Linked DNA regions of Ovis aries. The protein of the gene in region 1 interacts with the protein of each later gene in a biochemical or structural test. Links are inferred from orthologs where the notes say so. Each region holds a gene or a part of one and is shown on either strand. Other genes may lie near its edges.

Region 1 (7,071 bases):
AACAATTCAGTCAAAATACATACCACATCACTTTGTAAAAGTGATCTTTTTAGCATGACAAAATTACTTTATGATAAAGAGAATCTTCCGTATTTACTTACCTGGATATAGTCTACGGGATTCTTTCCTTCTCCTTCCTCAGAAACAAGGGCTTTACCTTGTTCCCTCAAATAGGAACTCATACACTCACACATCGTTTTCAAACCATTTGGCACACGACTAAACAACTTGTACATGCAAGCAAGGTCTGCAATCAGAACGAACACACAAATTGGCCACATTAAAGATTAAGAAAAAAAAAACCCTGAATATCTGCTCATGCTGATTTGTGATATTTAAAGAAGCTCCATTATGATAATTTGATGACCACATTAAAAAAACTACTAAAAACCAAAACTCCAACAAAACAGGGGTGGGATGGGGGAAGCTAGTTAATGGTTGTTACTGCAACTTACAAAATATATCATACAGATGAGATACTAAGCATCAATAAATGGTTGCAGCAAGTTTTGGTTTGCATGGAAGAGATGTCCAAATAGCATAAGAAACAAAGTCACAAAAAAGGAAAACTGAACTTTTGGGTCCCTATGTAATTTATCCAATATAATTCTAATTTAGAAACTAGTAATACAACAAAACAACTATCAAAAGAATAACTTTAAGTTTGGTATGTCCAATTAAAAAAATAAATGTGGTTTAACTGACAGTTAATGTAATAAAGTAGAACTTTAAAAACCAAGAAGTCTTACAGATATTTTGAAGCATGTCTATCTCAAAAGTTCAATGCCAATAGTGGCAAGAAATAAATTTCATTACACACCATGGTAAAATTCATGTGAAACTTACAGTATAAACTCCTATGTTTTAGTATTTTCCTTGGAGCAATCCCTAATATTTTTCAGGAGATGATCTAAGCCAATATCTGTATTTGAAAAACTGGCTTATCTCACTACATTGTTTTTATTTAGAATGAAAACTCTAAACTGCCTTTTACAGAAATAAAAGGTGGAGTTAAGATACTGCTTTCCCGTATGTCTAACGCATCTCTGAAATAAGAACTTACTGGAAGAGTACAATGTCAAAACTTTACAATAATATAAAAAAAGGTTTTATAACTGAGAACTTTTAAAAATGGAGTTAGAACAGCACTTTCTAGATCAGGGGCTGTTTTCTGTAAAGCATCAGACAGTAAATGTTTTAAACCATGGATCATATATGGTTTTTGTTCCAACTACTCAAATGTTGCCACTGTAGCCAGAAAGAAGCCATGGCTAACACATAAACGAATGGTCATGACTGTACTCCAATGAAACTTGATTTATAGACACTGAGATCTAAAACTTATATAATTTTCATGTGTAACGAAATATTACTCTTTTGACTTTCTTTCCAGCCTAACTGGTAGTGGGCCAGATCTGACAGACAGGCTATAATTTGCCCACCTTGTCTGTATTTATAAGAGCAATTTAGATCCTAAAAATACATGGATGCAACTTTTATAAAAAGGGCTTCAAAATTTGTTTCAATGACTTTCAAAAGCCAAGTTTTTGGACAAAGTATTCTCATCAACAATATATGTCCAAAATAATCTACACAGAGCAAATCTTATAGTTTCTCACATTTGGTATAAATTATAACCAAGTTGCCCATGTTAAAAATAAATATTACAAATGCAACAGAAATTTATGGATATGTACTATAGTAAGCTTTTGTTATCAAATACCTCTAACAAAATAGTTTCCAATTTTGTCTTCTTTGTTCCTATGCTGTTATAGTTTTGTTTACATGTTGTATATTTAACTGTATATAAACTAATAAAATTTCTTATATATAATCCACTGTAAATAAATGGATGGCATAGTGGAGAAAGTGAAAGAGAAGAAAAATTATGTGGCAAGCAATTAAATATTATTTGTTTATACTGAAACAATAAAATGATACTATCTGAACTTAATTTCATAGCACCATATGCATTTCATTATCAATCCAACTAATCCTCCACTCATGGTGGGAAAAAAACCTTTCACTTTCTGATCTATAAGACATTTGGCTTCATAATGGTGAAGTTCCATCTCTGACATATTCTTGACATACTGTTCAAGAGCAGGTCCTAGCATAATGAAGACATTTTGCAATTAGGTTTCTAGTAGCCAGGAAAACTGAAGACATGATTTTTAAATTTAATTTAGCATCACAGAGAGCTGCTTACTTGCTGAGAACATTAAGCACTAAATAGAAACTATGGTAAGTAGCTATTCTGATACTCTATCATTTAGGTACTTATTAAGCAGTTGCCATGTGTTAAGATATACTTAATAGCCTTTAACACAAGTCTCCATGCAGGCTACAGATACTATAATTCAGGTGTGCTCAATAATCTCTCCATCAAACATTTCCTAGCCTCTTAATCTTCAAACCCATTTAATCTCCCCACTCTTAGCCACCCCCACCAAACATGAATAAGAAGAAAGCATTAACTCAGTAACTAAACAATATATTAGAAAATTGATTCTCATCCTGTTTAAGTAAGGAAAATTGCTTTTCATAAAGTCCTAATCTGCCAGAGATCATTAAGATTGGGGTCATCAAACTATAGCCCATGGAACAAGTACAGGCCACTGCTTGTTACTATACAGTTCACAAAATAAGAATGCTTTTCACATTTTAAATGGTTAAAAATAAAAATCGAAGTTTTATAGGAATACAAGTTTATTCATTTATGTTACTGTCTATGCCTACTTTCTATTATAGCAGAGATGGGTAGTTTACTGAATGGTCCACACCCCTAAAATATTTCTTTTAGAAAAAAAATTTTGCCAATCCCTGACTTTGACAATGGGCATCCAGGAGTAGCTTATTTTGGAAAATATCCTTTAAAATGACTTTTGTTTTGCTTTTACAGAAAAACTTCATCGGAGGGTGTTTTAAAAAGTAACTTCTCTGCTTAATAAAGACAACAAATTTACATACAACTTTTCTGGAACTTAAAACGTATATAGAAACATAATCATCTAAAAATACAAGGCAAAGATTCCACTAGAGGAAGAATAGAACAACCTCTCTTCCCACCATCTTTCTTTTCCCTTCTCTTTTAAATTATTAACTTAAAAAACTGTTTCACTCTCTATGTAGGGAGTCAAGGTAGGGTCATAAGTCATAGTATGTATTTCTTTTATAAGTATGTGGCTAAAATGTCGCTAAGACTTCACCCAGCACCAGATTTACTTTTTAATACCATGTGCTCTGTGTGCTCATCTGCTCAGTCGTGTCTGACTCTTTCCAACCCCACAGACAGTCCACCAGGATCCTCTGTCCATGGGATCTTCCCTGACGCCGGGACTGAATCCACATCTCTTGCGTGCCCTGCACTGGCAGGCAGATTCTTTACCATTAGCACTACCTAGGAAGCCCTTTTAATACTGTATCAGTGACTTAGCAAGTCATAGTTTTAATGCAAAGCTTCAGAAATTAAGAATGAGGACATGACTGTTTTTCATAATTTGTCCCAGGGTATTCATCAAAAAGTATCACTTTAGAAAAATAAGGTAAATAGTCAAAAAGAGAGTAAATGTTAGTTATCTCCAAAATGTTTACTTGTAAACAATACTCCTTTCTCCTTTTTCAGTCTATAACTTATGAGTTCCTCTAAACACGCTGACATGCAAGACATGTAAATTTTTGCATTTTGGTACCCTTATCACAACCAACTCCCCAAAGGAATGCATACAAAAATTTAAGACTGGAACTTCAGACTGTGGAGAGTGTGGATGAAAAAAAGAGTCTAAATGCTCTGGCATATAAAAATAAAGTAAGGAGCAGGTCAGGAGCTCACCGGCCTCATGAACATTATCAGGCTCATCTTCTGGGTTAAGAAAAACACAAAGTGAGGAGACTAAAGAGAGAAAAAAGTAGCTATTCAATTCACTAGCAACATCTAGAAACCTTAAGTGTAAAGCTTTACTGTAAAATTCTATCAAAGTACCAACAGTGATAAAGTAATCAAAAGTAATGACTTCTTAAAAACTGATATTCATAATCTTCAATAGAAAAAAAAAAAAAAAAAAACAACCAAAAAACCGAGAACCTGGCAGACCTACAAGAATTCAATTGTTTTTCAATTGCTAACACTTACCTTCTGTCTTGCCATTTTTCAACATATGTACTAGCCCCGAATTCTCCATTTCTACTATAGTTTTCATGTGCTTGGAAATGAGTTCCCTCTCAACCACCTTTACAATCGGCTCTTCGGTTGATTTGTCAAGGCAGTGCATCACTCGTTCTATTTCTTCATTAATTCTAGCTTCTACTTTCTTTATATATACTGAAGCACTGTTTTCTGCTAGAAATTTCTGGCTTTCCATCTGCAAACAAAAAGCATGATTTTTTTTCTTTTTTAAACAAAGCAGCAAAATGTGCTTCTGCTTTCAACTGGGTTTCTACAGTGTTTCTCATAAACCAAACTAAATATCCCAAGCACTATTAACATTTTATACACTGTCTATATATACTCCTATCATAAGCATGATATCCTTTAAAGCATTACATACAACTAAATTAATACATTATCCTTAAGTAGCATTTTTCAAACTTTGCCAGTGTATTCCGAATAGCAGAAAAAGCAAGCACATGCCAGTAAAAGTTGAAACTACAGAATGAAGCATCTGACCCCAAGTGAGAGTGAAAAATTCTTCTTTGTTTTAATGTAAAATTATGCCTTAAAAAGATTCATCCTATTTATCACACAGTTTTGCTGGCATACTGGAAGTTACTAAAGTCCTCCTGCCACCCTATTCCCACTCTCAAAGGAATGTATATAAAGTCTGAGAAAGAGCTTTTCAATAACTATTAATCATGTCTGCTAATACCAGTCTTACAGAGAAATCTCAGTAAGTTTTAAATGCTGACCCTACTAACTTTAACCTCATAGTAAAATTAACAAATATACCTAAGAATTATATAATATTAGACATGTTAATATAAATGATATACAAATTTAATAGCATTTTCCATTCTCTTAATAAAAAGTAGTTTGAAATAATTAAAGTTTTTAAGAATACACATTATCACACCAAACAAAAATCATGGTGAGACAACCACTTCACTATTACATTAATACATATATCACTGTAATATATTTTGGAAACTCAGAGGTTAAAGCGTCTGCCTCTAATACAGAAGACCTGGGTTCAATCCCTGGGTTGGGAAGATCCCCTGGAGAAGGAAATGGCAACCCACTCCAGCATTCTTGCCTGGAGAATCCCATGGACGGAGGAGCCTGGTAGGCTACAGTCCATGGGGTCGCAAAGAGTCGGACACGACTGAGCGACTTAACAATTTTCAACTTTATTTCTACACTGTAATGAAAGAAATTAAAACAAATGCAAATGTAAAAACACTGTCAAAAATATCCAGAACTAGTTGTTGCATTATTAGGAAATAAAGACTGTTTCCTACATCACAAAATTAGTATTTCATAAAGCATGGTTCAGGCTCACCAGTACAGGCCATAAAAATCTTCCTGATAGGTTACAAACTGATTTTTAAAAACCGTGGCGGGGATGGTGGTAGGGTGATGTGGGCAGCAGTGTGCAAGTATGTTTTTTTGTTTATTGTAAGTGACAGCAAAATTTCAGGAGTCCCACATTTATATACATCCAATGGCTCTTAATGCTGGGAGGGGCTGGGGGGCAGGAGGAGAAGGGGACGACAAAGGATGAGATGGCTGGATGGCATCACTGACTTGATGGACGTGAGTCTGGGTGAACTCTGGGAGATGGTGATGAATAAGGAGGCCTAGCGTGCTGTGATTCATGGGGTCGCAGAGTCGGACACGACTGAGCCACTGAACTGAACTGAACTGAATGGCTCTTAAAAATGACCTACTGTAGAGTAACTGTAACTTTCTGCTTATTTTTAAAAAGCTTATTACTGAAATTGAACAGTAAAGTTTTAACTGAGTCTACTTCAGCAGTACTACAAAGCTCCTACTACAAACTGCTCAGATGGTTGAGGCTTTCAGGAAGAATAACCAATTACCATGACTCTGTAAGGACTGTCTCGTGTGTCATGGTACTCAGTCACTGTTATTTCATTACAAATCAGTACTAGTTTATCCTTACTTTTTTCAGTTGGTTTGGGGTTGTAGATACAGCTGCAAATTTGTATCTTATAATTTCCTCATCAATAGATTTTAAGACAAATATATGCACTATGGGATCATACCTATTATCTAATCTATATTTACTAGTAAATTACCAAAAGCCTGAATAATGAGACTTCATTGGTGATGTACTGCCTGTGAATTTATGGCAAATTACAGTAACATATAAATATTATAAAACGTAAGGTTATTCCTTAGTTTATATGTATTATAAACATATAAACATAAAATTTGTTAAAGATTTTTTTTTTTGGATGGGGACCATTTTTAAAGGTTTAATTAAATTCGTTAACAACACTGTTTCTGTTTTATGTTTTGTTTTTTGGCAGAGAGGCACGTGGGATATCAGCTGCCTGACCAGTGACTGAACCCACATTCCTGCACTGGAAGGCAAAGTCCTAATCACTGGACCATTAGGGAAATGCATATGCATATAATTTTTAAAAATTATAAAACAACAAAATCCTATAAAGCAATTATCCTTCAATTAAAAAATAAAATTTAAAAAAATTATATGTCTAAGTTCAACCTCTTCAATTTATTTTCAATAAACTTGTTCACTGGAATATGAGCATGTAGGGTTGGTGTGCTGAAGGGTATAAAATTTGCACTCATTTCCCCAATGGGCCTCAGGACAATAAACGTCAAAATGTTTAAATTAGTAACTATATATGGTAATCTTAAGAACATCTTCCGTTCAGTTCAGTTGCTCAGTCATGTACGACTCTTTGCAACCCCATGAATCGCAGCACGCCAGGCCTCCCTGTCCATCACCAACTCCCGGAGTTCACTCAGACTCACGTCCATCAAGTCAGTGATGCCATCCAGCCATCTCATCCTCTGTCGTCCCCTTCTCCTCCTGCCCCCAATCCCTCCCAGCATCAGAGTCTTTTCCAATGAGTCAACTCTTC
Region 2 (7,523 bases), on another chromosome or scaffold:
GTGGGTATAGCTTCCTCCCAGCATTCTGAGTTAAGAATGCCTGTGCAAGGGTGTACTGGGACTCCGTGTCAGCTTGAGTTTCAGAGTCAGTGAGACAAGCTTGAAGGCCAGATCTGCCCTTGGTTGCCATTCCCAGCATCACCTGGAAAGGCCCATGGTCTCAGAGCCTCTATCTCATCTTCCATAAGACGGTGGTGGGAACAGGATCAAACACATGGGGCTGTTTTAAGAATTCTGCACAGACTTGACCTGGTCCAGAATAAGCCCCTTATCAGTGACAGCAGCTGCCGCCAGTACAGAATGCCTGGGACACAGTCTCCAGCACGTTAGATGCATAAATGGTAGCTCCTGCTCTCACCCGGCTCCCTGAGCACACCTGTTACATGGGAGAGGTGGGCTTAGAATAGCACCTGGCACATAGGAAGCACTGAAGCAGTGAAATAAAGCACATCAGAAGCCAGTGTAAAGGAAGAAGACTGATCCCTATCCTGAAGACTCCCAGTACTGGGGAGGGGTTGATCCATTTGCCCCTCTAGGCCAGGACCAGAGCTGGGACTTTGTTGCTGCGAGGCCTTTTCTCCAGCTGTGGAGAGCAGGGGCTACTCTCCAGTTGCGGTGCATGGGCGTCTCATTCTGATGGCTTCTCTTGTTGCGGAGCACAGGTTCTACGGTGCATGGGCTTCAGCAGTTGCGGCTCCAGGGCTCTAGAGCACAGGCTCAGCAGTTGCAGGGCACAGGCTTAGCTGCTCTGCGGCATGTGGGATCCTCCCAGACCAGGGGTCAAACCCATGCCTCCTGCATTGGCAGGGGAATTCTGTACCACTGAGCCACCAGGAAAGCCCTTCCTTCCTTCCTTCTTTCTTTCTAATATCAGTTTTATTGTGAAATAATTCAATGTAGTAAGGAATTTCACCTCACCGAAAGAGAGATCTGAATTTTGTCCCATGACATGCCTCTTTTGTCTAAAAGCTCTACGCTGTCCGCGTGTGCAGCATGGTCTGTGCTCCTCGCAGGGGAGAGGCAACCCCTGATGGGTCAGGGCTGGCGGCCCAAGAAATCTGGGGTCTGCTCCACATTTGCTGAGTGACCCTGTGCAAGTTATTCTCTGCCTCCAGGCCTCGGCTCTGTCACACCTGCAGGGGCAGGTTGGTTCAGGCGAGCCGTGGGTTGCCACAGCTCCAGGACGCTACAGCTCCACTTTCTCAGCTTTCATTCCTCCTGTGAACTTGTCCATGCAAACTGGCCCCTTCTTGGTCTCTGGAGTATGGCTCTGGCTCCTCGCCCTCCAGACTTTGTCCCGTCCTCTTCATTCACTGGGGCCACCACATGAGAGGGCCTTCCTGGGTCTCTAGCTCTGGGACTTTTCAGGTTTTCTTTGAAGGGGTCTCCTCCCTGCTCTAGGCTCAGGCCAGCCCACCAGGCCTCTCCAGCCTAAGCTGCTCCGCTCAGTATCACACCTGCAGGACAATGGTCTCTCGCCCCACAGGCACTGGAGATACAGGCTCCAAACTGACCTCATCACCCCTGATGCCTCCCCAGACCATCTTCTCCTGCTTCAGGGAAACACTGCTGGTTCAAGCCAGAAGCCAGGGTTGTCAGCATGGCCCCTCCTCCTTCCTCTTTCTCCTTCCTTCTCCTTTCTTCCCACAGCCCCTTCAAGCTTCATTTCAGTTTCCCAAGTATCCACTAAAGCCTACTCCCGGTTGACGCTGCCTTGGTTGGGGCTTCCCTACCCCTCATCTAGGAGCCCTCCTGGCTGGTCTCTCAGGGCTCTGAGGCGTCTCCTCTGCAGTCTCCAGAGTGGCCCAAGTTACACATTGACCACATTACTCCCTGCCTATGACCCTTAAGTGGAAGAAGACATATTCCCTGCTTTGGTTTTGTTTCAGCTGACGATGGTGGAGGACTCACCTAGCGCTTGGAGTGCTGCCTGGAGTGCTGCCTGGAGTGCTGCTGTTCATCCAAGGCCAGTTCATAACTTATATCCTGTTTCATTCATTCATGTATTCAGTATACTACAAGCCATGGATTATGCCAGCTGTTTTACCAACATAATCGAATCTTCATGACAGTGTTCTTCAGTGACACTTCCCACTTCGCAAAAGGAAAAATTGAGATTCAGAAAGGAGGTGGCTCAAGATCACACTCGAATTTGTGTTTAAGAGAACACACATTCCCAGGAGCAGGAGTCTAGCAGCTGTGATCCACTCCCTGCCAAGGGGAAAGGTTTACGGAGACAGAACCTGAGGGATAATAGAACCTTCCCCTCCTCACCCCACCACAGGGCCAGGCTGCCCAGTGAGTGTGGCCTGAGTGTGTGACACAGAGATCACTGACTGAAATAGTGAGAAGGAAAGGAAGTTAAAGAAGACAGCTTTCAGGAATTCTCTGGTGGTCCAGTGGTTAGGACTTGGTGCTTTCACTGCCAAGGGCTTGGATTCAATTCCTGGTCAGGGAACTAAGATCCCACGAGCTACATGAAATAAATAAAGGAGGGTGACTTCCCTTCTGCTCCTTTCTCTCCCAGGACCCAAACCACATGAGGAGCTGTCCCCTTCCCACATCCTGCAGAACCCACAATAGCAGCAACCCACCCCCACCCCCGCCAAGTTATCTGGCTCAGAAGTACATCCACAGAACCAATCCCTCCTCCCCTTCCCGAATTACAGATGAGTAAACTGAGAGTCTCCCAGCACTTCATCCTACAAAAGCCAGAATGAAAACCTAGCTCTCCAGACATTCATCCGGTACCCTCTCCACTCTTCCTCCCTAGAAATGTTTCCCACGGAGCAGGAAACGGGCCTTGGTGGTGGAAATGCACTTGAAACCCACCTGGGCTCCTGCCAGCCTGACCCTCACTAGCTGTGTGAATGCAGAAAGTCACTTTGCTTCTGTGTCCTCTTATGTAAAATGGGTACAGTAACGCCAACTTCACAGGGCTACTGAGAGCATCAATGAATAATACAGATGCATAAAGCATCTGGAATATAGAAGGTGCTGAGCCAACTGTAAGCCCAGCTCTGTTGTCCTCAAAGAGAGTTTTCGTGGGGAAAGAGCACGGCTCCCTTCTTCCCCAGCCCCCGCCAGCCAAAAGCAGAATGAAAGAATATTAGAAAACAGATACAGGTAAATGCTGCTATAAAATTGGGAGAGGGAAAAGTTCCTTCTCTTGTCAGTTGTTTGATAACCCAGACTGGACAAAGGGAAAGCAATGTGGAGGCAGAACGGGAGGATTGCTGATTCGGGGTATCCCTCATCATTTTCCCAGTGACCTCGAATTTGACCTTCCCCGAACACAGAGCACTTTGGCCAAGAGCATCTTTAAGAGACCCTCGTTTGTAGACCTCCCAGAAAGGACAAAGTAGGGCGGGGCTAGGGAAAGGCAAGATCCTCACTCCCGCCGCATCCGCCCTTGGCGGCTGGGACTACAGCTCCCGGCATGCCCGGCGCTCGGTACCTGCCCACCTCCAGCCTCCTTGCCCGGAGGATGCAGACGCTGGGAAGAGCGATGAGGATGGAGGCCGGTGAGGCAGCGCCGCCGGCGGGGGCGGGCGGCTGGGGCAAGTGGGTGCGGCTCAACGTGGGGGGCACGGTGTTCCTGACCACCAGGCAGACGCTGTGCCGCGAGCAGAAGTCCTTCCTCAGCCGCCTGTGCCAGGGGGAAGAGCTGCAGTCCGACCGGGTGAGGCCCACGGGGTGGGCGGCCGTTGGGGATCCCCGCTCGCTGGAATCTGGCTATTCAGCCAGGCCTGCTCGCGGGGCTGGAAACCCGGCTGGGTTTCTTTCCGAAGAGCTGGAGGCAAGAAGAACTGGTCGAAGGAGGGGAGAAGGAAGTGGATCAGAGAGTGAGGATGTGCCCATTGCCTTGGCAACAGGACAACGCCAGGCTGGGGCCATTTGGAGCTTTTGAGCTCTACCCTAGGCTCCCCACCAAGGAGACTATTGGATAAGGTCTCTCCCATTTCTTTGGCGCTGTGGGGAGGACAGACACGAAGGGACTTCCCTCCTGCCCAAACTGGACTCCTGCATCACAGGAGATAGAGTCTGCTTCTCCCTGCCCTTTGGGGTGTGGGTGGCCTAGGGGTACAGGGAGCTGGGTGGAGAAATCCCAGGTTCCTTCTGAGCTGGGCTTCATGGGGAGGAATGCTGGCCTGGGGCACCATTTCTGGGTTCCCATCTCAGTTCTGCTGCAAACTGCCTGCATGACCTTGGGTCAGATCCTTCCCTGCTCCAGCTCAGCCTCCTGTCTGTAGCCCCAGGGGGCTGGCCTGCGATGACCTCTAAGGCCCCTTCTCTCCCATTTCCTGACCTGATGCTGTGACCTTGGGTGAGTCTCTTTACCTGGTGATGTCCCTGTCTTCTCTCTGTAGAGTTGCACTGAAACTCTCTCAAGCCTCCCTGCCCGGTATCCAATGAGGGTATCCAATGAGATAGCAGCTCCTTTGGAAACTTGTAAACATCCGCAGAATAACTGGGGTCTGCTGGAGACCGTGTAGGGCTGGCTTCAGGAAATAACCTCTAAGAGGGATGATCCCTGAGCCCTACACTGGCCTGGGTGCCACTGAAACTTCACTGGCTGCTCACAATTCTCCCCGGTTGTGGGGGAGAGGAGCAAGGCTCAGAGAGGTCAAGTCACTGACCCGAGGTCACAGAGTCAGGAAAAGGCAGAGGCAGGATCTGAACCTAGCTGTATCTGACCCGAAGGTCCTTTTACTCCATCACACCACTCCGTTTTGGAGCGAACACTGCATTCCCCCGCCCCCACCCTCCCTCTGTCCTTTACTGGGACTGAAGGGTGGGGGTATGTGCAGGGTCAGCAGGGAAGAGGGGCTCACTCTTTTCTCACTGCCTGTGCCCCTTGCCTTTGTAGGATGAGACAGGGGCCTACCTCATTGACCGCGACCCCACCTACTTTGGGCCCATCCTCAACTTCCTCCGGCATGGCAAGCTGGTGCTAGACAAGGACATGGCTGAGGAGGGTAAGTTGGTCCAGGGGGCTGGCCAGGACCTGCGTCCTACGCCTGTCTTCTCTAGCCTGCCAGGGCCTTCCATGGTGGTCCAAAGCCATTTCTCCCATCCAGAGGAGACCTCTGTTTTCTTCCATGTTTCCTGCTTCTTCTCGTTCCAGACAGGACTGGATGCCAAAGCCTCTGCCCAGGCTGAGCCTAGGGCCAAGGTGACTGGCCCACGCTTCCACTGGGTGCTTCTACTGGGTGGTGCTTCTGGGGAAGTGGCAGAAACATAGGCAGAAGAGAGAGGAAGCCCGTGAGGCCTGTAGCCTCCGCCGGAGGCAAGGGATGTCCTTTCCCCTGGCTTGCTGGGAAGCCAGTGGTGAGCCCGGTGGGGGTAGAAATGGCCACGGGAAGAGGTATGCTTCTTTCTTTGAGTGATCGGGTATCTCAGATGCCTGGTGAGGGCTCACAGTCAGCAGGGAGGTGGAACGGGTGGCTCTTCCCGAGCTCTGACAGCCTCTGCTGCACAGTGCTGGTTGTGGGTGGAGGAAGGGGAGTGGGGAGGCTGCTCCCCAGCGGGCGTGTGGTCCCTCCCAGGCCAGGTAGCTGAGGCCCTGTAAATGTCCACTTCCTGGCCCAGCAGATGGCAGGGAAGCCATGCCTGGGAGAATGGCTTCTTGGCAGAACTGCAGCCTGGAGCAGGGACTATAGGTGGGTGCCAAGCCCACTTTTCCTTAGAGCACAGGGTGTGGCTTTGGGTCAGCTGACCCAGCCAGGCCAGCTTGGACTTGTCACTTTTCCTTTCTGAGTCTCTACTGTGTGTATAAAGTGGGGCGGCGATCTCCATTAGGGATGTGTTCTGGGAAAACAGACATCGCAAATCCCAGGGCTTGTACCCTGAAGGAATCTAACACAGCCCCTCCCTCCTCACTCAGGCCACAGTCTTCCCTCCTGACCCCTATGGGACACAGTAGTCTAGAGGCCAGGTGGCTCTCCAGAGGACCAGGGCTTCAGAATCAGAGCCCACTCTAGGCATCGGCTCCGGGAGCCCCACAGCTTTCCTGGTGGCCCCTGGGAGAGCAGACACCATGGGCGTGGCCTGGGCCCAAAAGCCGCTCCCACGGGGAAGGGAGCTAAACACTCCAGCGTCACAGCTAACACCTGTTTACAGGTTCTGGATTTGTCAAAGCCCTGGCATTCCCAGCACCTTCAGACAGGACTAGGGCCCTGCTCCAAGGGGCCAGGGGCTTTGGCAGGAAACTGACTAGTGTGTGAACCCTAGAAAGTCACTTATCCCCTTGTGCCTCCATGCCTGCATCTGTGGAATGGGGTAACAATAGCACCCACCTTGCTGAGCTGCTGTGAAGATAAAAGGGGCGGATACAAGTGTGTCGCTTAGTGCCACGCCTGGCACCAAGGACCCGTGATACAGAGTTTGCTGTCTGTCATCTGTAGGGCCCCACGGGGGGCATTCCTGGCAGTAGCACGCACTGACCACCTCCTCTGTGTTAGGTGGATGTGAGCACTGGGGACAGCCAGGGACATCAGATGTGGGTCCTGTCCCGCAGGAGCCCAGAGGCCCGTTGTGCAAAGGACCTGCCCTGAGGAGCTGAGGGGGGTCCAAAGGCTGAGGGCTGTCCCCCTCACCAGAGAGGCACTCGCTCAGTCTCTAAGATGGCTCCCTTACCTGCGTGGGGACAAGCACGCCCTGGGGCTTGTGATGAGCACGGGACAGGCTCTGCAGACTGTGAAGTGTGGTTGGTCAGTGCACAAAGATCATGCACTTAGTGGGATTGGAGGGCAGAGGCACTTGAGTGGGAACCCCAGCTCTGCCCCATGCTGGGTGTGAGGTGTTGCACAGCTACTGCCTTGCCTGGCCCTTGGCTTCCCTGTTTGCTCGGTGGGGGTGATGAGAGTATCTACTTCTCGTGCTGAGAATGAACTACAGTAAAGAGTGCAACCTGCCTGGCGTGGTGCCTGCTGCTTAGCACGTGCTTCATCAGTGGGAGCATGTAATCAGGGGTCAGCCAAGGCCCCTCTCACTGTGGCCTTCTAGGGTCCAGTCCCATGGGCCTGCTGCCTCTGGTTAGCCCCAGACGGGGGGACTGGTAGGTGTCCCAGGTCGCTGTGCTCAGCACACCAGGGAGATGGTGCCTCTTAGCCCTGCTATAGAGAGTGTGAGTCCCCAAGAAGGGAGTGTTCCCTCTTGCCTGACCCCTGAACTCAGAGAGGCTCGTCACCCTAGTGTGATGAGCAGGGGGTGGGGATGGAGGGGACAAGGCGAGAATGGGGCATGGGGGCAGTGGGAGTGATGTGGGTGCTGCTCTGTGTCAGGGGTCCTGGAGGAAGCGGAATTCTACAACATTGGCCCGCTGATCCGCATCATCAAAGACCGGATGGAGGAAAAGGATTACACCGTCACACAGGTCAGGGGGCAGCGGGGCAGCATCCATGGCCAGAGCAGGGGGTGGTGGGGAGTGGGGAGAAGGGAGGTCAGGAGAGACAGAACTAGGTTTTCTTGGGAAGGCCGAGCTGCCCTGTAAGGGGTTGTCCAGCTCCCAGATCGCCCCG

The links. The genes of interacting proteins can lie anywhere in the genome.
Region 2: the proteins of CUL3 (region 1) and KCTD17 form a complex in vitro, tested with the Homo sapiens proteins (3 studies listed by BioGRID). The link is inferred for Ovis aries from reciprocal best matches to the Homo sapiens genes CUL3 and KCTD17.

Annotation. Positions count from the first base shown.
Region 1 is NC_056055.1:226,665,719-226,672,789, forward strand, and holds part of CUL3 (cullin-3), read right to left. Parts: intron 4,362-7,071; coding exon 4,133-4,361; intron 248-4,132; coding exon 102-247; intron 1-101. UniProt on the Homo sapiens protein: Core component of multiple cullin-RING-based BCR (BTB-CUL3-RBX1) E3 ubiquitin-protein ligase complexes which mediate the ubiquitination and subsequent proteasomal degradation of target proteins.
Region 2 is NC_056056.1:181,099,622-181,107,144, forward strand, and holds the start of KCTD17 (BTB/POZ domain-containing protein KCTD17), read left to right. Parts: upstream 1-3,491; 5' UTR 3,492-3,508; coding exon 3,509-3,682; intron 3,683-4,870; coding exon 4,871-4,979; intron 4,980-7,286; coding exon 7,287-7,378; intron 7,379-7,523. UniProt on the Homo sapiens protein: Substrate-adapter for CUL3-RING ubiquitin ligase complexes which mediates the ubiquitination and subsequent proteasomal degradation of TCHP, a protein involved in ciliogenesis down-regulation.